3 linked regions of the Elephas maximus indicus genome follow. The protein of the gene in region 2 purifies or fractionates together with the protein of the main gene of each other region. This does not show direct contact. Links are inferred from orthologs where the notes say so. Each region holds a gene or a part of one and is shown on either strand. Other genes may lie near its edges. The genes, in order: COP1, STK40 and TRIB1.

Region 1 (7,217 bases), on a different chromosome or scaffold from region 2:
AAGTGAAATATGCAAAATTTTTAACTGAAAACTCTCAGTGGACACTTCCACACTACAGTATAAACGAAAACAGAATAATTTAAGCAGCATGATTAGAACTCAAGAGACTAGACTGAAATTTTTAAATTAGGTGATGGGCTAATAAAAATTTTAATAATCTTGTTTCAAAAAAAAAAAAAAGTGCCAGCTGCTTAAACTGTTTCTACCCTTTCCAAACCCAAACCAAACCCACTGCCGTCAAGTTGATTCCAACTCAAGGTGACCCTACAGGACAGAGGTAAACTGCCCAACAGGGTTTCCAAGGCTGTAAATCTTTACAGGAGCAGACTGCTACATCTTTCTCCCGCAGAGCAGCTGGTAGGTTCAAACCACTGGTTAGCACCAAGAGCTTAACCACTGAGCAACCAGTGCTCCCCACCCTCTCCAATTCCCTATAAAATAGCCTATAGCACACTGAAACTCACATGGTGCCTGGCAGACAGTGAGTATTAAGTAAGTATTTGTTAAATGAATGAATAATTCCCTTACCTCTCACATCTTTTACCCTGTTTTAGTATACCTATTTTTTTTTTTTATATGGATGCTGGAAGCTCTGGTGGCACAATGGTTAAGCGCTCAGCTGCTAATCAAAAGGTCGGCAGTTTGAATACAGCAGCCAATCCTTGGAAGCCTCATGGGACAGTTCTACTGTCCTACAGGGTTGCAATGAGCCAAAATCAACTCAACGGCAATGGGGTTGGGTTTGGTTTTTTATATGGATGCTGATGCGTTTGTTTTCTTTTCAGTCTACTGAAAATTGAAATGGTAGCAAAAAGACTAAATTCTGCAAACCCTCCACTTTATTTTACTAGCTTCTACCTTACCACGTGGCACTCTCTAAAAACAAAATAAAAAAAAACCCACTTCCGTCAAGTCGATTCCGACTCATAGCAACCGTACAAGACAGAGTAGAACTGCCCCACAGGGTTTCCAAAGGAGCAGGTGATGGATTCAAACTGCCAGCCTTTTGGTTAGCAGCCGAGCTCTTAACCATTATGCCACCAAGGCTCCTCTCTACTGAGTATGAAGGCAAACACCTCTTAGATCCAATCATAAACTGCTAAAATTATTCATAACTATCATTCACAATTATAGCCCAGGTTCAACGAAAAATGAAATAATTCTGAATCCAAAATAATTTAAAAGAAAAGCAGAAATATGAATAAAGACAGTATTATTTTTCTGCAAGAGTCATAAACTGTATATCTAATCAACAGCTTCCCTAGCAGTTCCAACTTATTCCCCTATCATACTTAATGACACCAACCCAGATCATCCCCATAATGTTAGTGCAAGCCAACTTTCTACAACATAATCTCTTAAGGAAATCTATCAATTTCCTCCAAAAGAAAAGCACAAAACCCCACCAGTTTCTACTCAGCTAATTCCTTTCTCATAATCCAACCAATAATATCCAAAACCCAATAAAAATCCCAAAACACTTTCAGCAAGTCAACTTCATATGGCTAGCCCGTCTATGCCAAATCTCATGACTGAATAGTACTGTGTCATTCAAGATGCCAACTATGATGGCAAAATCTCTAATACCTAGCGTTTCTCAAATCAGAAGCTCCAGTATACTCTAATGCGTTATACGAGTGTAATACAACTGTAATTAACACACCGATGATGTTTACTAAATGTGGTTCCCTCTTGAAGATATTCGATTGAGAAATTGAATATTTTGTGAATAGACTTTGACTACAGCAGATATAAAAGTGGCCTACACTTTGAAATGTGAGACGAGATATATTTAAATACACATGTACACACACAACTGATACTTAAATACTACTTCCCCTTAAAACATCCTTACCCGTGTTTACAGCACCATGCACCATACCGCCAGTAAGCAAATCCTGACCAGCAACGCCATCCCTCAGCATCCCAGGAAGCTTCACCCTCTTCACAAATTTAATTCACCTCAACAAGTAATCGGATTGATTTTTGGGTGCCTAAAACGCCAGACAGCCAGAAAATGCAAGGCCCAACCTTCTTACCCAACTTTCTTCTTTATCCACAACATTATTCGATGCTCCATCTCCCCATCCTATTTATTATGCCTTAAATTCCTCTCACTTCCTCCCCACCACTGCTCACCTCTTCACTACCCCCAACCTGCCTTGGGACTTCAACATCTCCTCACTCCTCCCCTCCGTCCTTACCACCCCCCCACCCCCACCACCGCTACAAGTTCGAATCTCGGAAACGCTGACTTCAGAACAAAACCAGTATCCAAGCTCTTACACAGGCCACCCTCACACTGGACCCCACCAGCCTAACCAGCAGGAACTCGTAACACACAGGGGGCAAGGGGTGCGGGGTGTTATTCAAACCTACCAGACGAAGTCGTTGCTTTTGTCTTCATAGGAGTTGATGAGCCCGTTGCAGAGCGGGGTGGGCAGAGGTCGCTTCCTGCTGCCGCTGCCTAGGCTGGAGCTGCTCCCACCTACGCCGGGGCTGGGCCTGGCCGCGCAGCTGAGCCGGGACGGGCCCACGGACACCGCCCCGCCGCCGCTGCCCGACGCCGCGGCCGCCACCAGCACAGGCCGCACCGGGCCCCCGAGGCCGCCCGAGCCCGCGGCCTGGGCCGCTCCGCCGGACACCAGCGCCGCCGCCGAAGCCGCCACGGAAGGGGGCGACGGGGAAGAGGATAAGGACGAGGAGGCGGAAGTCACCGAGGAGGCCGCCGAGGAGCCAGGGCTCGTCCCAGCGGAGCCCGATCCGGCCGGGCGGCTACCTGACATCGTGACTCCCTCCCCCCCGGCACGGCGCTCGGAGGAGAGGGACCCAGACACGACCCACCGCCGCCTCCCCTCCCTCAGTCTCAGTGCATCCCGAGGACGCGCGCCGCGCCGGGAGGTGGGGCTGAGGAACAATAAAGTTGATTTTTTTCTTAAGGCATCCACACAACGGTGTCCGACGGGAGGGGGCGGAGGAAACTAATAAAGGGGAGTAGAAACCACTACCGCTCTCGAGGCCGCCGCCGCCGCCAACCCCTGCGCGCCGTGGGCAGGTCGTGCGCGCGCGCGCGCGCGCGAGCGGCGGAAGGGGCGGGAGCGGCGGGGGATACAACTTTCTACGCCGCCCGGGCGGTGCTCGTGCACGAACGGCGACGGCGGCGGCTTAGCAACCAGAGGAGCCCTGGGCGGGAGCTGTTTTCGCTGGTGACGTACGGAAGGGTAGGCAGTCTTAATGGAGTGAAAGGGCGGAGGAGAGTAAAATGAACGGTAGGATTGGTGGTTTGGTGGACGGGGAGCGGGGGCAGGAGAAGAGAGCCGCTCACAAAACGACTGCATACGCGCGCCCTGGGCGCCCACCCTCGCGAGCTAGCTAGGGTCTCCGTTCCAGGCGAGGAAGAGCGTGATATACGCATGCGTGGGAGCGAACCGCGTTCCTGAGTGTGAAGAGGGAGCGATCCCTGTCTCCTGAGAGGCGGATGGGTGACCCAATAGCAAGAGCACGACAGGTGCTTCTCGATCAGGGATTGAAGGTGCTGTAGACTGGGGACAAACGGAAGGAACCTGGAAGCACCGCGCAGTTCGAAAGAACCCTGGACTGAGAGTCAAGGTTTCCAGGCTCTGCTGTTATTGAGCCATTCTACAGTGTTGTGAGAATTAAATAAAGGTGAAGTCAGTGAAGAGTGTAGCAAGTTTTACCAGTTTGACCATGAGCTTATTTTAAACGTTGTTTACTAAGTTGGGTGTGACATAATAGGAAAACAGATTATACTCAATCGGAAGACAGGTCAGTCAAACCTCAGTTTAATGTGGAATTGATATCATTCTATCACAAAACAAGGAAACACAATATTCGATACCACCGGAAAATATGCAATTTCTGTTAAACCTTTTGGAATATTGAAAATTGCCTACAGAGTTTCGTTTACCACTTTGAGAATCCCTAAGGTTCTTGGGGATGTATGTAAGTTAGAAACAGCTGAACTGGGTGATTTTCAGTATCTTTTCCGTCTCCATCATTCTGTGATTCTTAGAGGAAAGGATCTGATTTAGTTTTGTCCTGAGTGTTGAAGAAGCCTATAGGGAAAGCAAGGAACTTTTCTGAAGGACATCAATGTATGTAAGGGGGCTAGGTCACAGAGGGGCTTGAGTGAAGGCCCAGAAACTCGGATTTAGCCACCCAGCTGGGCAGTGAACTTTCATAAGGTTGCCACCCTCTTCACTCTGCCTTAGCTGTTCACCTTGGTATTCCCACCTTGGGTTTACCTCAAGTTTCTGCTTAGAATGATGGTATAGGAATGGATTTATCAGATTTCCAAGAACCTCCTTGCAAGAACATTGCCTCATCCAACTCTTGTTTCAAACTATTTTCTAGACACAGCTGAAATGTGAAGCCTTCCCTGACTCTATCCTTAGCAGAGATAGTTGAGCCGTCTTTTGTGCTCCTATGATTGTTTGTACTTATATAATTGTATTTTAATTGTTTATGTGTTATTCTCCACTAGCCTGTCAACCACAACTTTCTTTGTATTTCCAACATGTTACACCATGCCTGGTGCTTATTGTTTGTTGACTAATAAATGAATAAAGCCAATGATCTCATTTTTATTTTAATTATTTCTTAAATGTTTGTCTGTCTAACTAAATTGTTAAGTTTCGTGAAAACAAGGCCATATTGGTCTGTTTGAGGCATTCGGTGTTTGGTGAAGGAAAGCATAAATAGATGAACATAATTTGATGAAAATTCATTGAATGCTTAGTACGGGAAGGCATGGGCTAACCAAGGAAGAGACAAAACCACACCTGTTGCCATGGAGTAGATTTTGACTCATAGCAACCCTATAGGACAGAGTAGAACTGGCCCATAGGGTTTCTAAGGCTGTAAATCTTTATGGAAGCAGACTGCCACATCTTTCTCCCTGACCTTTCAATTAGCAGCCAAGTGCTTAACCACTGAGCTACCAGGGCTCCTCAGGAAGAGATAGAGAAGTCTATAAAACAAGCTTATGGAATAATTGAGGACTTACAGAAATGGATTTTAAAAAGCTAGATGATGATGCCAAGGAACACATGCTTAATGCATAATGGATAAAAATCCAATAGGAGCTGAAGCAAGAGCAAGTACTGAAGACCAGCCATGTTGATGAGGGAAGGAATTAGGCTTTAAGAGAAAAGTATGGTTTGATCAAGCAGAAAGTATAATTGAAGTCATGAACCCAGAAAATAATCAGTAAAAATGCTTACATCAAGTTCAGTTATCTATTTCATAGGGGTAGAAGAGTTTATTTGGGAGAACTTCATTTGGGAACAAGATTGTAAAAAGGTTGAAATCCAGTTTTGGGCATATCCTATAAGGCAATTGGAAACAGTGAAGGTATCCGGCAGGGTAAGCGTAGGGAATATATTCAAAGTGTTAAAGAATAAGCTTTCAGAAGATTAATCTTTCAGAAGAGCTGAAAGATTCAGAGCAAACAGACTAAGAAAACATTATCAGTCTGAGCCTAAGTGATGAGATTCTAGATGAGGGTGGTGGCAAGGAAAGCAAGGGAGTATCTGAGAAAAACACTAAAGAATTTAGGAATAAATTACTCTCTGCAAAAGAATCTTTAAGCTCCTTGAGGACATGACCTATGTCTGTCATGTTCATCACTGTCTTTCCCACATGCATAGTATGTTGATTAAGTAAAAAAGATGGAGCACAAAGAGTAAGGAATGACTCCAGAGATGACTCTTGGGATAACCATAGCATGATGACAGAATTCGAGACATCTGGCAGATGGTTTAGTTTTGGGTATGTTGAATGAGGGTGGAAAAAACATTTACTAAGCATATCCGGGCAATGATTAAAAATGCAGGGCTGGGCCAAAGAGAAATTTCAGCACTTGAGAAATTTGGAAATTAGTAAGGGGATAATATATCTATAATCAAAGAGTTATTAAGGGCCTGTCACTTGCTGTGCATGTTACTACACCCATGAGTCTTAAACTATGCTGCAAAAAAGAATCATGTAGAGAGTTTGTTAAAAACTGTGGATTTCTAAGTTCCACCCCAAAAAGATTCTGATTAATAGGCCTGAAATACCCTTTGCCATCGAGTCAATTCTGACTCATTGTAAGGGCCTAAGAATATGGACTTTTACCAGCACTCAGGTGAATCTGACGTGAGTGACCAACTCTGAGAAACATTGTGCTTTATTCTGTGGGAGGTATAAGAGAAATAATGTGAAGTAGTCTTCTATCCAGGTAGCTTAGGTGCCTAAAAGTAATATGGCCCCAACTGAGAAGTCTCCCAGGAAAAAATCTTCAGTGCTTGGTATTACCTCTTGGGAACCTATTTTCAGTAAATTCACAAAAGGAAATGGGATGTGATACAGTGGCATTTCCTTTTTTTTACCAGATAAATGTATAAAGACTGTGTTCTGAGAATACACAGGCCTTCCTAGTTTCTACTGGCAAGATCTTCTGGGAAAACAGAAGAGGAAGCATGACAAAACATACACAAAGAAGGAAGTCAGGCAACTCAAAATATGAGAAGAGAAATAAATTGTTGGCCGGTGCCGTCGAGTCAGCTCTGACTCATAGTGTCCTCATGTACAACAGAAGGAAACACTGCCTGGTCCTGCACCATCCTCACAGTCGTTGCTATGAAGTAGAGAATAGGAAAAAAGAAAAAAATTAATAAAAGATGAAAGTAAGTGCATAATAAAAGCTAAGTCTGAATAGTCAAAGGAATTTTATCCCATGAACCACAAAAATAGCAATGAAAACAAAATCCAAAGTCTTCTAGCAAAAACACTTATACTGAAGTAAAATCTAATGGAGTTAAAGTGGAATATAATTACCAAGAGGATTGAGCTTCCCAGACCTATTTCTGAGGTGCCTTATGCAAGTATGATATTTTAGGGAGATAAGGTCACTGTTTTCCACCTCCATCTAGCCCTGCCCTTTGGCTGTCACCCCAACCAAACAATCCCCCCAATAAGCTTTGTCTGCCTGACTCACCTGTAGGGTTTGCTGTATAACTAAGTCTTTGAATAATAGCTTCTTCTTAAAAAAAAAAAATAATAATGTGCTTGATCCATTAAAGCAAATTAGTGATGTGAAATAAACTAAACACGACATGGAAAAACTGGTGAGAAAAGAAAACATTTTCTGTGAGTGTGAATGGACAGGAAAGGAATAGAAAAGTTTCTGTGAACCCAACAATATAAATGTGTCT
Region 2 (7,277 bases):
TAAGCTCCTAACCACGAAGACCTACTGCCTTCCCAAAAGGTCATATTAAAGGCACAGTAGACAAATGCAGCCCCCTTCCCCCAATACTGGCTCAGACCACCACCAGGTCCCTGAGAGAGCAGCCTCACTTCCCCACCTGCTTGCAACCCCAGGAAGTGAGGGGACATGCACCTGGCACTTTGTGCAGGCAGAGAAGCCCAGGCCAATGCAGGGAGCTTGTCACTTGGCATTGGTGCTTCCCCAGCAAAGATCCACCACCCCAGCACCAACTCTCCTCTCATTGGCCTGCAGTGACCTCTCTCAGAGGTCTCCAGTGCTTTGGTCTCACCTCTCCCCTTCCTTCCCTCCTCTGCTGGGACTCCAAGGAGACCTTTCTTAAACACGGCTCCCATCACTTCTATTCTCTGCTTAAAACCTCCACTGGCTCCTCACTGCCTTGGCATAAAGTCCCAAATCGTTAATGTGCCATTCCTGTGTCAACCTATCTAGACTCATCTTATGCTGTGCCCACTTCCATACATCACAGTGAACAATTGCAAATTTCTGGAATTAACTGTGAGTTTACTTCTATCTCTCTCTCCAAGTAGAATACCTTGCTCTTCCATTCTCACCTGGCCACACCTTCCTATCCTTCCAGACTCAGCTCCAGCATCATGTCTTCTGCCAAGACTTCCCAGTACCCTCACCCCCTTCCAAGTTGTGCCAGCAGTTTCCTTCACTGGGCTCCCACAGCCCTTTGCTCCTGCGGCTACTAGCTTTTTGTGACACGTTTCAATTATTTGTTTATAAGTCAGTCTCCCTTAACTAGATCATGAGCCCCTTGAAGTAAGAATAGCTAAAATTAAAAAAAAAAAAAGCTAACATTTTTTGAACTTTTATTATGTGGCAGACACTGTCCTAGGTATTTTATGTGTTAACTTTTTACATCTTCATAATAGCTCTACGTTATCACTCTATTTTACAAATGGGGAAACTGAAGCACAGAGAGGTTAAGCAATATGCCCAAGGTCACACAGCTTCCAAGTTGCTGAACCACAATTTGAACTCAGGAAGTCTGGCCCCAAAGCCTGCTTTTAGTAACCTGTTGTCATGTGGGAAATGAATGAATGAATGAATGAATGAGGGCTTCTTTCAGAATGTCCAGATATAAACCACAAACAACTGGCCCACAGGGCCCTTAAGGAGCTCTGGAGGAACTCACAAGTACTGTTTACAAACAAGGTTCTTGGGACCTACAATTACATTTACCATGACTTAGAGTCCGTCACATATTATACTCTTCCTTATCTCATGCAAAACTACTCAGCCAACACAGAAAGGTGCCCAGCCCAGCGTGACTACCCTCTTACCCATGGTTCTCAAAACCAAGCAAAGCCAACCGGTTTCCTCCCATGACTTAAAACAGAGCAAGGTCTACCCTACCACAGAAGACGGCTGTCATCTCTTCCTTCCGCCAACAAAAGGCATCAAACCTGGGGAGTGGGGGTGCCCAGAGAACGCGACATCGGGGATCGGAATGCCCCTACCTAAGGACTGCAAGGTGGGGCCAAGCGGCGTGGGAATGGGCGGGCCCGGCCCGGGTACAGCAGGTGAAAAACACTGACCACAGCAGACTCTCTCCTTGGAAAAGGCTGGCCAAATGTAGCACTGGCAGGCAGGCAGCTCTGACTGGTACCTGAACGCTGCCTAGGATGCGAAAATTCCCCGGCAGCTATGGTGCTTGTGCTCCTGGAGAAAGCCCTAGCCCTCCCTGGGGATTCGTTCTAAGTTTCAAGTCACTCTCGGGATCAGAAGGGAAGTATGGTGAGACAGGGGGTGTCTCGTGGGAAAAATCTGGCTGGGCTCAGTTTTTTCACTTACTGGCTGAGTGTCCCTGGACAGGACTGGCAGTGCCCACCTACCAAGGCTGCGGCAAGGACCTAGGCTCCCCGCGGCCGCCCCGTGCCCGGCGCGCAGCAGCCTCCGCCCCCGTTGCCCTCAGCCGCCTAAGAAGGGCAGATCCCCCAGCATAGGAGGAGGCGTGCGCTGTTGCCATTTCTGTCGCATCTGGATAGCCCCGGACTGTCAGCTCGGTCCCTTTGCCACGGCGGCTGAGGCCCGCCCCGCCAACCCCCTCCCTGCTACCCACCTCGCGACCCCCGACCTCACCTTCCCCGGGTGCTCAGCGCTGCTCGCCCATAGTCCTTAGCCCGGAGCCGGGGCTGCTCGGCGCTCCGTGCCGGGGGCCCGGGGCCGGGCCGGGGGCGTGGGAGCCGCTCACCGCCGCCTCCCAGCGCAGCCGCCCGAGCAGCCACCGCCGCCGCCGCCGCCTCCCTCCATGGCTGCGGCGCCGCCACCTGACAACGGAAGTGACGCACCGCCACCCTCCTTTCTGGCCCAAGCCACAGCCCCGCCCCCAACCCTCCCCCTTGCCTGTGTCTACAAAAAACCCACGGCCACCATCTTGACGACGGGCGGAAGCCTTCAGGCAAGAGGCCAGAATCAGATTGCTGATTGGTTCACCCTGGGGTCTGGGCCTAAATTTGTAAAACGATTGGAGCCTGAGACTCTAAAGGGGCGGTACTTACCGCTCATCTATGCCGGCGGTGAGGCGGGAACGGAAGCAAGGACCCCGCCCTGACGCCACCGAACCTCGTGTGCCCTACACTCGCCCTGGCGGGGTAGGAGAGGTCTCGAGCAGTTGGAAGATGGCCAATTGTAGTGTATTTATCTGAAAAGTGGCTCTTCTTTGATCCCCATTTTACCGGTTTCTGGAGCTCTGCGGAGAGCGCTGCAGTTAGGTTCAATAAATGACAGGAATTCCAGTCGCAACCCTCACAATTCATTCCCTTCTAGGCCCCCTCTCCTTTGTAGAAACCCAGAGAATGGGTATCTTCGACCTGGAGATCCCCGGAGACTTGACTAGGGAGGTTTACAATGAAAAGCTCCTATTTACGCTTCTAGTCATCTAACCTCAGTCCCTCCTGCTGCAGTTTCGGTCCCTTTCTCCTCCTCCAGCAACCACGCCCTCCATGAATCAGCTTCTTGCAGCAGCAGATGAGCCCTTTAAAAGGATTGCATCAGGCTGGTGACTCACTGGGGCCCTCTGAGAGCCCGGCTTCCCTCCCCTGGCATGCAGAAGCAGCTAGAAGGGGTCAGTGGCAGCAGGACTCGCGGCCATAGACCCACTCTTTTATCTCAGAGGTGTGAGCCAGGGTGCCTGCTGCATATGACTGTCTAGCTCCTGGGTGCGTTTCTCGCTGTCCCCGGGGTCATTCTGTGTCCATGTGTGGGCACATGTGTCTGAGCCTGTGTGCACTGCCGAGTTTTCCTAGGGCGTGTGGCCAGGCACTTATGTGTATGTGCATTTGCCATTGCCACACAGGTAGTGCCAGGACATGAGAGTTGGGGTGAGGGAGGTCTGGCGGCCTCTGCCTTTGTGCATTTGTCTCTCTGAATGCCTAGTGCCCACTGAGATGATCGAGCTGGATAACACCGTAATCGAAACAGCTCCTGCTGCTGTGCCAGATGCTGTGTGAAGCACTTTGGAGACATAGGCATCTCCAGGTGGGAATTAGGAGTCTGTTTATAGAAGAGGGAGCTACAGTTCAGGGAGTGAAAGTAACCTGTTCAAAGACACACAGCTAATAATGGCAGGGCTATGACTGGAACTAAATCTGGTAGATTCCAGAAAGCTTGGATGTGCATCCTTGCTGCATCACTTACAAGCTGGGTGACTGTGCAAATTCCCTATTCTTCCCAGCCTGTCAAAATAGGGATAACACATCATGGGACCAAGCAAGCATTCCATGAGCTATGGAAGCAGCTTCTCATGGTACCTGCTGAGTGTTCACATTCGTCTCAGTTACAGAACTTAAATGAGGTGAATGACCAGAAGACAGCCATAACAATGTCCCGGCCCATCATATTCCTCTCTCTGACAAAGGGAAAAGCCTAGGGATTCCGGAAGCCCTGACTCTGACAGGAATCAGTTCTGGGTTTTCCAGAGCTGTAATTATCAGCTAGATGAATCACTCGGGGTTGACACCACCATCCCCACTCCCAGGAGACTCTCAGCTGATTCAAAATATAGGATTTTAACAAAGGAGAGGCGGAGGAAGAGAGGAGAAGAGGTAATGAATAGAAAGTAAAGGCGTCAGCCAGAGGAAATGTAAAGTTGTCATCAGGACACCAACATGGGGAGACTGCTAAGACATGCACACACACACACAGACACACACAGTGACATATTTTCCTGCTGGCTCTCCAGCTCTGGGCATACTGGCAGACGGTGCTGCCATAACAAAGTGACACCTGTCACAACAGCATAAGATGGTTGCTTGATGAGGCACAGGCAGATCTGCCTATCACAGAAGACCTTCAACCTCCAGGGGCTTCCTCAGGCTTCTGAACCCTAGTAAGCCCTACTTGCTGGCTGGTCTCTGGCTCCTCTTTGTGCCCAGACCCCAGGGGCTGGATATGGTATAAGTTTTGAGTGCCAGATCCATACCCTGTGGCTGGGTACCATCACTGAGGTGAGCAGGCACCTCCTGTCTTACTCTGTCATCAGTGTGATGTCAAGAGTGCTAGGAGGCACAATAGTATAGTGTAGTAGTTAAGATCATGGGGTCTGGAATCAGGCAGACCTCAGTTTGAATCCTTACCCTGCTGCTTACTGGCTCTATGACCTTGAGCAAGCTGCTTCATCTCTGAGCCTGTCGGCTGGCTCATCTGTAAAATACTGTTGTTAATACACACCTCCAGGGTTGTTATAATGATGAAACGAGATTATTCTTTCATTCCACAAAGATTTACGGAGTGTCTGCTATGTGCAGAGCATTGAGCTAGATCCTGGGGATCCAGTAATACCCAAACAGTCAGCAGCTCTGCCCTTGTGAGGCATGTAAGGCCCCTAGCACAGGGCCTGGCTCATAGTGAGATTCAACCAGCAGTAGCTGTTTTAGTCAGGGAGGAGCAACCCGGCAGTCAACTTTGTGGACTGATGACCTTCTCACCTTCAAAGCCTCTTGTAGTATTTTCCCTCCTTGAGAATCTCATATTCGGTAAGATTTTGTCTCCTATACAATCTACATCAAGTAACTTCTTCCTTTTGGTTTATGACAGCCTTGTGTTACAGCCATTAGATCTTGTGCTCAGTAAGAGGAAATCAGTGTGGCCACCATACTAAAAAAAAAAACAAAAAAACCTGTTGCTGTCGAGTCAATTCTGATTCATAGCGACTCTATAGGCCGAATAGAACTGCCCCATAGGGTTTCCAAGGAGCACCTGGTGGATTTTAACTGCTGACATTTTGGTTAGCAGCTGTAGCTCTTAACCACTATGCCACCAGGGTTTCTGATCACCACACTAAGTTGGTATAATTCCAGCCCAAAATGGCCTGATAAGCCAGCTTGATCATAGCTTGGGTGCTGTTTCTAGGTCTTTCTGGAATACTGACAACTCAAGGGACCCCTGCCGCCCTTGGGGACCCCTACAGCTGGGGATGCCAGACTGGAAACCACTGAACTGGTCTCTCAAGTTCCATCCAGCTCTTCCAGGCTGACAGCTGGAGTGGCTGGTTCCCTTGTATGCCTCTGGAGAAATCTGAACTTCAAGCTGCAGACCCACTGGGACTTCATCGGAGCTGTGGTAGTTCCCTCCCCCAGATGAGACCCCTGTAGTCTCTCTCCAGGCAAGGCGGTATATGGGGAGGTGGGGGTAACTCCTCCACGCCACCTGAGCACTCAGAATTCCTGTGACCCACACACTGGCTGAAGCCGCAGGAAGGGGGATATGTGTGTGCTTGAACAAAGGCCATGGCAATGAGTGGCACAAAATCCAAACTCCAGTGGGGGCATAACATGTTGAAATAATGTCTTTCATCTTTTCTTTGGTGTCCCTCTGCCCTTTCCTTATGCAGTCTATTCTGCTTTCCTGCCTTCAGGAAAGGAATGACACAACACAACTGAGTCAATTTTTAGCGTCTGAATTCCAAAAGCCTAGCCTTCAGGGAGGAATGGAAAGAATCCCTGTGCAGAGATACAAATTTAGAAAACTGTGTATCACTGGATCTGGGCGACTGAGACTTGGCGGCGTCTCTGACAATGGAGGAACTTCTCTTCAGGCTCCTAGCTGACATCATCAGCTAGGTCTAGGGGATCTGAGAGCAGGAGGAACCGTGCTCCTTTTCCTGGGTGGAGCGCCAGGGAGGTAACAAGACCCTCAGGAAGAAACAGCTGTGTGCCGCATTTGGGTAAACAGGGCTTAACTAACCTAATCAACTAGTCGCTGAAGAGTCAACTCCGACTCATGTGACCTCATGTGTGTCAGAGTATAACTGTAGAGTATAACTCCACAGAAATGTCTACAAGATAGCTACAACAGAGACTTGGGTTCTTATCCCCACAACCCCCTCCCTCTTCCTCGAGGAACCAAGGACTCTTCAGAATCTGAGACTAATTTCTTGCTGTTGGCTGAGCCCCCACATCTGAGGTGAGGGTTTAGGATACTTCACTCTCTCCACCTCAGGAAACAGAAATGAGACCAAAAGCCTCCTCCACAGGGGGTCTGAAGCGAACAGCCACTTCCCACCTGACCAGACTGAGGTACTCTCCTACAACAGTTCTCAAACTTTGCTGCATATTAGAATCACCTGGGGGAACTTTAAAAACATCCCAATGCCCCAGCCAACTAAATCAAAAAATCAGAGGGTGGGACCCAAGCCTCAGTTTCTTTTAAAGCTCCCCAGGTGATGCCATGCGCATCTTAGTTTGAAAGCCAGTGTCCTACTGCACAGGAAAGGCAGGGAGCCCCACACTCAGCAGGGAAAGCATGAGTCATGGACTTATTTGTATCCAAGTTTGGTCTTATGAGAATATGAACACAACTGCAAGAGAAAAGGGGACAGTTATGGGTGGCTCAGGCTGAGTATATTTAATAATCCTCATGGCAGAGGGTTGAAATGAAAACTATTCGACAGACTACCTAAATCAGTAAATCAGGAATTCAGATGCAAACGATCAAAAGAGGGGCTTGTCACTTATCCCAAGGCCACAAAGAGATAAATTAGATTCTGGGTTCCAGGTTGAGTCTGGGAGGTAGAACTCTGTGAAAGGCAGCTGTGACAGGAGGTGTCTGTCCAACACCGGTCTCTGGGCTGGCCCTGCTCCCTCCTCAGGCTCAGGGCAGGGAGGAATGGCAGGGAGTTGGCTCAGTAGAACTCAGTCGGAACCTGAGTCGGGGGTGGGACGTGCTGAGGGAGCAGCCTCACTTATAGTTTTTGGAGGGAAATTCCTGCC
Region 3 (7,927 bases), on a different chromosome or scaffold from region 2:
CCTCCGACCTTTTGATCAGCAACCAAGCATGTTAACTGTACCACACAGGGACTCCCAGTTGCCCCTAACATCATTAAAACTGGTAACACCTAGGACTCTGGGATAGCAAACATCTTAAGAGTCACCCCCTTCATAGGGATGGTTTGATTGAACTGTCTATATCTACATGTTTCTCTTCCACCAGCTCCTGAGAGCAAGCCCCAAAGCCCCCACACTCTGTGGCCCTTCCTTGTTTGCAGGCAAGGCTGCAAAGTGGCTGATAGAAGGCACCTCCTGGGGTCCCCAGAAACAGAAATCAGCCTCTGGAAATGCATGTCCTCCTGCAGACCCAAAGTGCTCACAAAAAGGGCACACATGGTGACTGACGCTGCAGCCTCCTCAGGGAGGCAGGGGCCAGAGAACAGGCAGCTCTGTCATCAGTCAGGAGGAAGGGATGAGCTGGAGCAAGAGGGAGCCTGTGACACCAAGGTCAGCAGTCTGACTCAGGTATAAGCCTCCCTGAGTTAGAGTCTCACAGCAGGGGCATGGGATCCTGTGAACATTTCTTTTTTTTCCTTTGTTTATTCCCCACCCAACCCCCACCCCACAGGAAATGGGTAGTATCTCCTCTAAGAAGCTGGCTGGACTCTTTAAGGCCCTTTTGTTTGGTTCGGTTACTCATATCCTAGACTCTACTGGAAACGGTGACACACGGGTTGTCACCATCTGGATTCAGCTATTATCTGCTCAGAGGAACTGGAAGGAGTTGCACAATGGCTAGACCCACCCCACCTCTGAGGGCTGGCTGCTCTGGCACCAGCCAGAAAAATCCCTCCGACGCCCCCTCCTCTCGCCCCACCCCAGACCCAAACACACACATACTTTTCCCAAAACAGCTCTGAGCCTCAGCTACACAGAAAATAAGACTTTTTTCCCTTTTAAACTGGACTTGACCGTGCATTTGAAATTTCATTCCCCTCGGACAGTAGGTGGCAGCAGCAAGCCCAGGGACTGGGAGAGTCAGGTGAATTGCAGAAAACCCGGAGCGACTTTAACTTGGGGTGACCCCCTCTTTCGGGTGAAGGCTCTCAGGACTGCTTGGGGGGTGGGGAGTGCCAGGATCGCAAAGGGTGGGCGGCAGAAATGCCCTGCGTCCATGAGCTCTGGTGGAGGAAGCGCGGACCCTGTCCCTAAGAGTGGTATCTCGCGGACCCTGTCTCTAAGAGTTGTATCTCCTGCTGCGGGATGGGGATCCCTAATGTTCAAATGCAGATCGCTGGCCGGGATATAAATAAGTGAATAAAAGTGAGGGTTCCTCGCCGGTGTAGCGTTTCCAACAGTCCTACTCTGGGAAGGTCCCTCCCCGCCCCCTCGCCCCCCGCCCCAGCTAGAAGGTCCCGGGAGTGCGGGGACGGTCTTGGCGGCGTTCTCGTCCCAGCGCGGGTCAAGCCAGAATCCCCCAGACGGGAGCCCAACACAGTCTTTCCACCCTTTACCACCCGCAGCTGAGCCCGGGCGCCTAGAAATCCCGGCCCGGGAGTTGCCAGCTGCTTCAAGCTCCGAGGAGGCACCCAAGGCAGGCCTCTTTCCAGGACAAGGAGGCGGGGGGGGGGGGGAGCAGGAGAATGAGGGAAGGGGAATGGCATGGCCCTGGAATTCATTTCAATTCCACAACTTATATGGAACGCCACGCGCTGAGCTGGGCGCCAAGGAAAGGAATATAGCGATAAAACAATTGAGGGCTGCACTTTTCGCCGCCGAGCCCCCCTTATACCACGACCCCTCTTTCTCCCAAAAGGATGACCCAGTCACATACCGCCTTACCGCACTTGACCCACTTATTCGCCCTGCCCCAAGCCTTGGTAGTACCTGCGGCGTCCCAAGCCCCTCTGCCCGCCTCCACGCCCCCCAGCCCCCCGCTGGATCCTGGTCCCCAGGCGCCTACCTTGCAGCGCAGCTCTCGGCCGGTGTGGATACACAGCGCCCGCGACACATGCTCGCGCTCGGCCAGGGGCAGCAGCAGGTAGTCAGCGATGCGGCTGGGCCCCGGCGCGCTCCCAGAGCTGCCGCCGGCGCCCGGCACGGCAGGCGGGGGCTGCGGGCTGCAGGGCGAGCCGGGAGGGCTGAGGTAGTCGGGGGGATTCGAGCACTCGGAGAGGCGCGGGCACTTGGCCGCCACGGCTGCCGCGTCGTCTGCATCCAGCAGGCGCTTGGCCGGGGTGCCCCGGGCGCCCGGGAGAAGTAGGACCGGGCTGCGGGACTGCGCGGCGCCGCTCATGGCCGAGCGCACGGGGCCGGCCCGCATCCCGTCCCGGGCCGAGGCGGCGCCGGCTTTGTGCGTCCGGCGACCCGCGCGGGAAGGCGCTGCGGGCTCGGCGCCGCGACTTCTTCCAGCTCGCGGGACAGAGTATACAGCCCGGGCTTGGCTCTGCCCTCACGGGGATTAGAGCAGAAGTCCCTCCCTGGAGCTCGCGGTGCACGCGGAGACCACGCTGGCCGCGCGTCCAGGGGGTGAAGGCCGGTTCGGTTCCCCGGATCCCCACGGGCACCGGCTCCGGGCGCCTGGCCGGGGACGGCCGCCGTTATTATTGCCGCGGCTGCGAACAGTCCGGGAGACAGAGGCGGTGGCTGGCGTTCCCTGGGTCCCGAGCCGCGAGGTACAGGATTCCGCGGGATCCGATAAGCCTCGGATCCAATGTACTTCCCAAAGCAAAAAGTCTCGGAGCCAAGCTGGAGCAACTTTTCCGCGGGGCTCCGGATCCTGTGCGCTCCTGGGCTCCTGGCGTGTGAGCTAGCGAGACGCGCTCGGAGAGAGTGACTGAGTGTGAGTGAGTGTGTCGCCGCACCGATCCCGGCCAGTGCACGCCTCCTTCTTTTCCTCCACCTCCTCCGCCTCCCGGTGACTCACGCTGTATACACACACACTCACAGACCGGGCTGTGTAAACAGTTGGGAAGCCGGGTTGTGCAATGAGGTGGCAGCGACGACTCCGACCCTGCCGCCCGGCTAGCAATCACCGGAGCGGAGGGGGGAGCATAGGAGGTGGAGCTGGGCCGGCGCGGGGGATGGGGGGAGCCCGGGACAGGGGATGCTCTGGGCAGCGTGCTCGGGCGCAGGTGGTGCGTCCGGCCCGGCTTGGGCGCGCGCACACGCCCCCGGGGCTGGGCTGGGCTGGCCTGGAGGCGGCGCGCGCACTCGGCAGGGGGCCGGCTCCGCACTAGAAGCCGGAGGAGGGGGCCAAGGAAACGTCCCTGTGACGTCAGGGTCCCGGGAAGTGGGCGGGAGGGGCGGGGCGCAGGGGGTGAGGCGGCCGCGGATTGGTGCGCGCGCCCCATTCACACCGAGCACAATGGGCTGCGGAGCAAGGCGGGCGCGCGAGTCCCCGAGCCCGGCGGAAGGGCGCGCGCACCACGGTTCTCTGCACCCGCGGCTGTTGCAGCCCAGTGGTTACGCCTTTAGCCCCGGGGATACCCCCACCGCCCAGCGCCTCGGGAGCTCCGCTTGGAGCCGTAGGCGCCGCCGACGCCCGGCTGCAGCCCGAGGAAGGGGCGGGCTGGGGAAGGTGTTAAATTCCAGAATCAGTCATTCACCCCCACGCGGTAGTTCCGGGGAAGACCTGTGCGTGGTAGTAGATGTGGCTTTTTTTTTTTCCCCCTTTTCCTGCCCCCTCCCATCTCTAATCCCCAGCGTCTGTTCGCTTCCACAAATAGAACCTTCTGTTGGATGAAATAAAAGCAAACACAGGGCCTTCTGCGCTGCCTCCACCTCCACGCCCCTCCCGCTCCTGCCGCCCGCCGGGATTGCACGGAAATAGCTTCTCCCGGCTCCCGGGCCGCCCCTTCGCGGTGACTCGCTGAAAGAGCTTCCTGAGCCAGGGCCGGTGGGAAACAAAGGATGTGGGGAGCTGGCGGAAGGGGCCCACGTGGCCGCTGCCGGATCCCTGCCCCTTCCTCGGCCTCCCCACGCGCCACAGGGTCTGGGGCCCCCGTACCAGCCCCGGCCCTGGGGTGGGTGGGTACGGAGTAGGAATCATTCTGACCACCGCCGCGATGTTGTCTGCACGGGGGCAACCCTGCCAGGCCGTGTGGGTGCATCCGTGCAAAGTGATTTCATCGTGCACCAGATATGTGCCAGAGCCTGCACAAAAGTCCAGGAAAAAAGCTTGGAATTTGTCGTTTTTCTTTAAGAGAACCAGGTCAGTTTGCAGTCCCTGGACGCTCAGCATAGATAACTATTATCATAGAGCCCTTGCACTTCTGCTGCTAACTACTTAATTTTCTAAAACCAGGTCAAGCACCAAGGATAAATTCCTTTCTATATTAATCCTCCCTTCATTCAGCAATCACTAATTAAGCTGGACACTGGAGATTAGAAGATGAAAATCCAAGTAATAATATTTAATGTCAGTTGAGGCCTACTACGTGCCAGGCTCTGCTCCAAACACTTTTACATGTATTACTTCATTCTTAACAACAACCCTTAGGCTCATAGCGACCCAGTGTGACAGAGTAGAGCTGCCCCATAGGGTTTCCTAGGCTGTAATCTTTACGGAAACAGATGGCCAGCTCTTTTCTCCCATGGAGGCCCTGCGACCTTTGGGTTAGCAGACACTGAAGCTTAGAAAGATTAAGTAACCTGGACTGGACAAATAGCTAGTAAGTTTTGTTGTTAGCTGCCCACTAGTTTAAAAGGAGCCCTGGTGGTGCAGTGGTTAAGCACTCCACTACTAACCGAAACGTTGGCGGTTGGAACCTACTAGCCACTCCACTGGGGAAAAGATATGGCAGTCCACTTCGGTAAAGATTTCAGCCTTGGAAACCCTGTGTGGCAGTTGGGAATGGACTTGCTGGCAACAGGGTTTGGGGTGGTTTTTTTTTTTTTTTTTGATCACATGATTCCCTTAGGTGCTCTTTTGGTACCTTTACAGCAGAACTTGGTAAGACCCTTACCAGTTACCTTGGAGACTATGGCTATTGATGGCCACCCCATGCGTGTCAGAGTGAAACTGTACCACACGGTTTTCAATGCCTGATTTTTCAGAAAAAAGATTTGCCAGGCCTTTCTTCCAAGGCACCTCCGGGTGGACTCCAACCACCAACTTTTCAGTTAGCAGCCCAGCACATTAACTGTTTGCATCCGGTAGGACTGTAGGATCTTTGAAAGCCAAAATCAAGTCTGTGCGTGTACACGCGTGTGCATTTGTGCGTAAGTGTATCTTACAGAGCCCAGCACAATGCCAAGCTGGCACTGGATGCTCAATACATGGTGAACTGGGGAGAAAGACTGATTTGCGTCTGCCTTTTCAGGAACTCATATATTGTGTAATGTGGGGAAACTTGTAGTGATTTTTCTGGACAAGGTGGGGCTACCGATGAGCATGGGCTTAATTCATTTTCCCCACGTGCCAGGTAGGTGCATGGCAGCAAGATTAGGAAGGCTGTAAGCATTTTACACATTCTAAACTCAGGGAACTTTCTCATAGCTTCCAGGGTTCACAGGTTTCCATTTCTCTGCTTCAAAGAACACAAGGTTTTGCAGCCACACATAATGAGTACTGTGCGCCAAGTACATTTTGTTCCTTGACCCTAAATTCTAAACAAATGACCAAAAAAAAGAAAGAAAAAAAAAAAGGGAAACATATCTAGCCAAGACAATATGGGTATTTAAGATGATTTTGAAAGTTAGGAAAGAAACATTTGTTGATTTCCCGCCATCTGCTAAACCAGAACCAAGCCTGTTGCTGTAGAGCCGACTCTGACGCCCAGCAGCCCCTGTGCGTTCCTGTGGGCCACAGAGTTTTCAGTGGCTGTTCTTTCGGCAGAGGCTCACCAGGCCTCCGAGGTACCTCTGGGTGGACTCGACTGGCAAATCTTTCAGTTAGCAGCGAGCGCACTAAGCATTTATGTCACTCACGGACTCCTACCATAAGCTAAACCAAAAACAAAACAAAACAAAACAAACCCATTGCCATGGAGTCGGTTCCCACTCATAGCGACCCTATAGGACAGAGTAGAACTGCCCCGTAGTGTTTGAAGGAGCTGCTGGTGATTCAAACTGCCAACCTTTTGGTTCGTAGCTGAGCTCTTAACCACTGTGCTGCCAGGGCTCAGTACCATATGCTAGACCCTTTCATATTCTCTTGTTTAATGTTCAATAAAATTTCACAAAATAGTTATTATTGCCACCATTTGTACAGATGCCCAAACTGGCTCAGAGAAGTTGATTAGCTTGTCTAAGTTCACACAGCTAGAACGTGGCAGTTAGAATGGGAACCCTGGTCGGGCTGGCTCCAAACTTCGCTCTTCCTACTTTATGCACTATCCTAATCTCCCAGTAAGGAGCCGTGATGGCACGATGGCTAAGAGCTTGGCTGCTAACCGAAAGGTTGGTGGTTCAAACCCACCAGCTGCTCCACAAGAGGAAAGAGCTGGTGATCTGCTCCCATAAAGATTACAGACGGGGAAACCCTATAAGGCAGTTCTACTCTGTCATATAGGGCCACTATGAGTCAAAATCAACTCAATGGCACATAACAACAGGTCTTCCAATAAAGAGAAATTCTATCCAAAAAATAAGTCTTTTAAGAGCACAGGAAGCCTTAGATTCCCAGAGGTCTTCCCCTAACATTTGTGGAGACGTGACTCCTCTTCTCTTCCCCGTCCTCCCCATGAAGGGCCTCCAGGGCATAGCCTTGGACATCCCAGCTAACATATCCCAACTCCATCCACACCCCCGACAGTCACTGTACCTGGGCCCTTCCTTGACCACCCACAGGCCTAGAAGTGCACATAGCAGTGACAGCAGGTCACCTTGGAAAGATGGACCCGGGAAAGAGACCCCCTGAGCTCAGGAAACAGGTTCCAGGCCTTTGGGATAGGGAATTCTGGGGTCCTGGGTACCTAGGATTTGTTCTAGAAGGGCAGGTGCAGTCTAGGAAGGCAAGCCTTCTTCCCCCTGCATACTCCCCACTCCAAGGGGGTAGATGTGGCCAGAAGGAGGGCCAGGGTAAGGCCCTGAATGGCCCAGGTCTAAGGGAGCTACTGAACTCCCATGAAAAATTCCTGGGCACATTATCTAGACCCTCTGTCCCACCTCCTTACATGCCCACTGCTCCTCTTGACCTGATCTGTAATCAGCACAGTCCATGCCCTTCAAGGAAGGAGCCACAGAGGGGCAGGCAGAATTAACAGAAAGGTAGACACGCAATTAGAATCCAATGCCTAGAAAAGGGAGAGGATAACGCGGCAGGGGGAGGAAGGAAGGATCAGGGAAGACATCACAGAGGAGGTGGCCTTGGCAGGGCCGTGGATGATCTATTACCTGTCTTCATTGGTGGCCCATCCTGTGCTTGCACGCACTTGCTGGGGTGGCCGAACTGGAAGCTTCTCAGGGATGAATCTGGGGTGCCCTGGGTCCAGTGACAAGCACAGCTCCATACCTGCCTTGGGTCAAATGGCGAGACACTCCTCACCTTCTTCTAAGTCACCTGCTGCAGCTTTCATTCTGTGAGTTCTCCCTGTCCATTGGCATCTGGTTCGCTGTTGCCTTAATTCCTCTTCTAGCACCTGGACAAAGACCAGCCCTCTCCCCTGCTTGGGTTGGAACTCTCCTCACTCCCACTGGCTAGGTCTCTAACCACTGGGTACCTGGCCAGTCACCTGCTTTCTCCACATCCGCTGTAGGCTGGGAGGGGGCTGGAGGATGGAAGGCAGCATGGGGTGCCTCATACGGGTGAAAATCATTTTGTCAACTGTGATGCTTTGTATGCATGTGAGGCACTAGTTTTATTGCCAGTGGAAAGGGCACAGGCCTTTGAGACAAAAGACCTGAGTTCAAGTCCTGGCCCTGCCATTAGCTCACCGTGTGAATTAGGCAGCTCACTTCTCCTCCATGGACCTCATTTTTCTTTCTTTCAACCTTTCTTTTGTTCATTCATTCATTCGTTTGT

The links.
Region 1: the proteins of STK40 (region 2) and COP1 purify together in Homo sapiens (affinity purification with mass spectrometry; 3 studies listed by BioGRID and IntAct, counting the BioPlex papers as one, with this or other methods). This does not show direct contact. The link is inferred for Elephas maximus indicus from reciprocal best matches to the Homo sapiens genes STK40 and COP1.
Region 3: the proteins of STK40 (region 2) and TRIB1 purify together in Homo sapiens (affinity purification with mass spectrometry; 3 studies listed by BioGRID and IntAct, counting the BioPlex papers as one, with this or other methods). This does not show direct contact. The link is inferred for Elephas maximus indicus from reciprocal best matches to the Homo sapiens genes STK40 and TRIB1.

The regions. Positions count from the first base shown.
Region 1 is NC_064842.1:38,684,270-38,691,486, forward strand, and holds the start of COP1 (E3 ubiquitin-protein ligase COP1), read right to left. Parts: upstream 3,062-7,217; 5' UTR 2,787-3,061; coding exon 2,380-2,786; intron 1-2,379. UniProt on the Homo sapiens protein: E3 ubiquitin-protein ligase that mediates ubiquitination and subsequent proteasomal degradation of target proteins.
Region 2 is NC_064821.1:77,738,192-77,745,468, forward strand, and holds the start of STK40 (serine/threonine-protein kinase 40), read right to left. Parts: upstream 3,077-7,277; 5' UTR 2,575-3,076; coding exon 2,568-2,574; intron 2,329-2,567; exon of another isoform or gene 2,149-2,328; intron 1-2,148. Other genes in the region: U7 snRNA-associated Sm-like protein LSm10, read right to left, coding at 7,246-7,277. UniProt on the Homo sapiens protein: May be a negative regulator of NF-kappa-B and p53-mediated gene transcription.
Region 3 is NC_064833.1:17,722,790-17,730,716, forward strand, and holds the start of TRIB1 (tribbles homolog 1), read right to left. Parts: upstream 3,098-7,927; 5' UTR 2,285-3,097; coding exon 1,925-2,284; intron 1-1,924. UniProt on the Homo sapiens protein: Adapter protein involved in protein degradation by interacting with COP1 ubiquitin ligase. The COP1-binding motif is masked by autoinhibitory interactions with the protein kinase domain.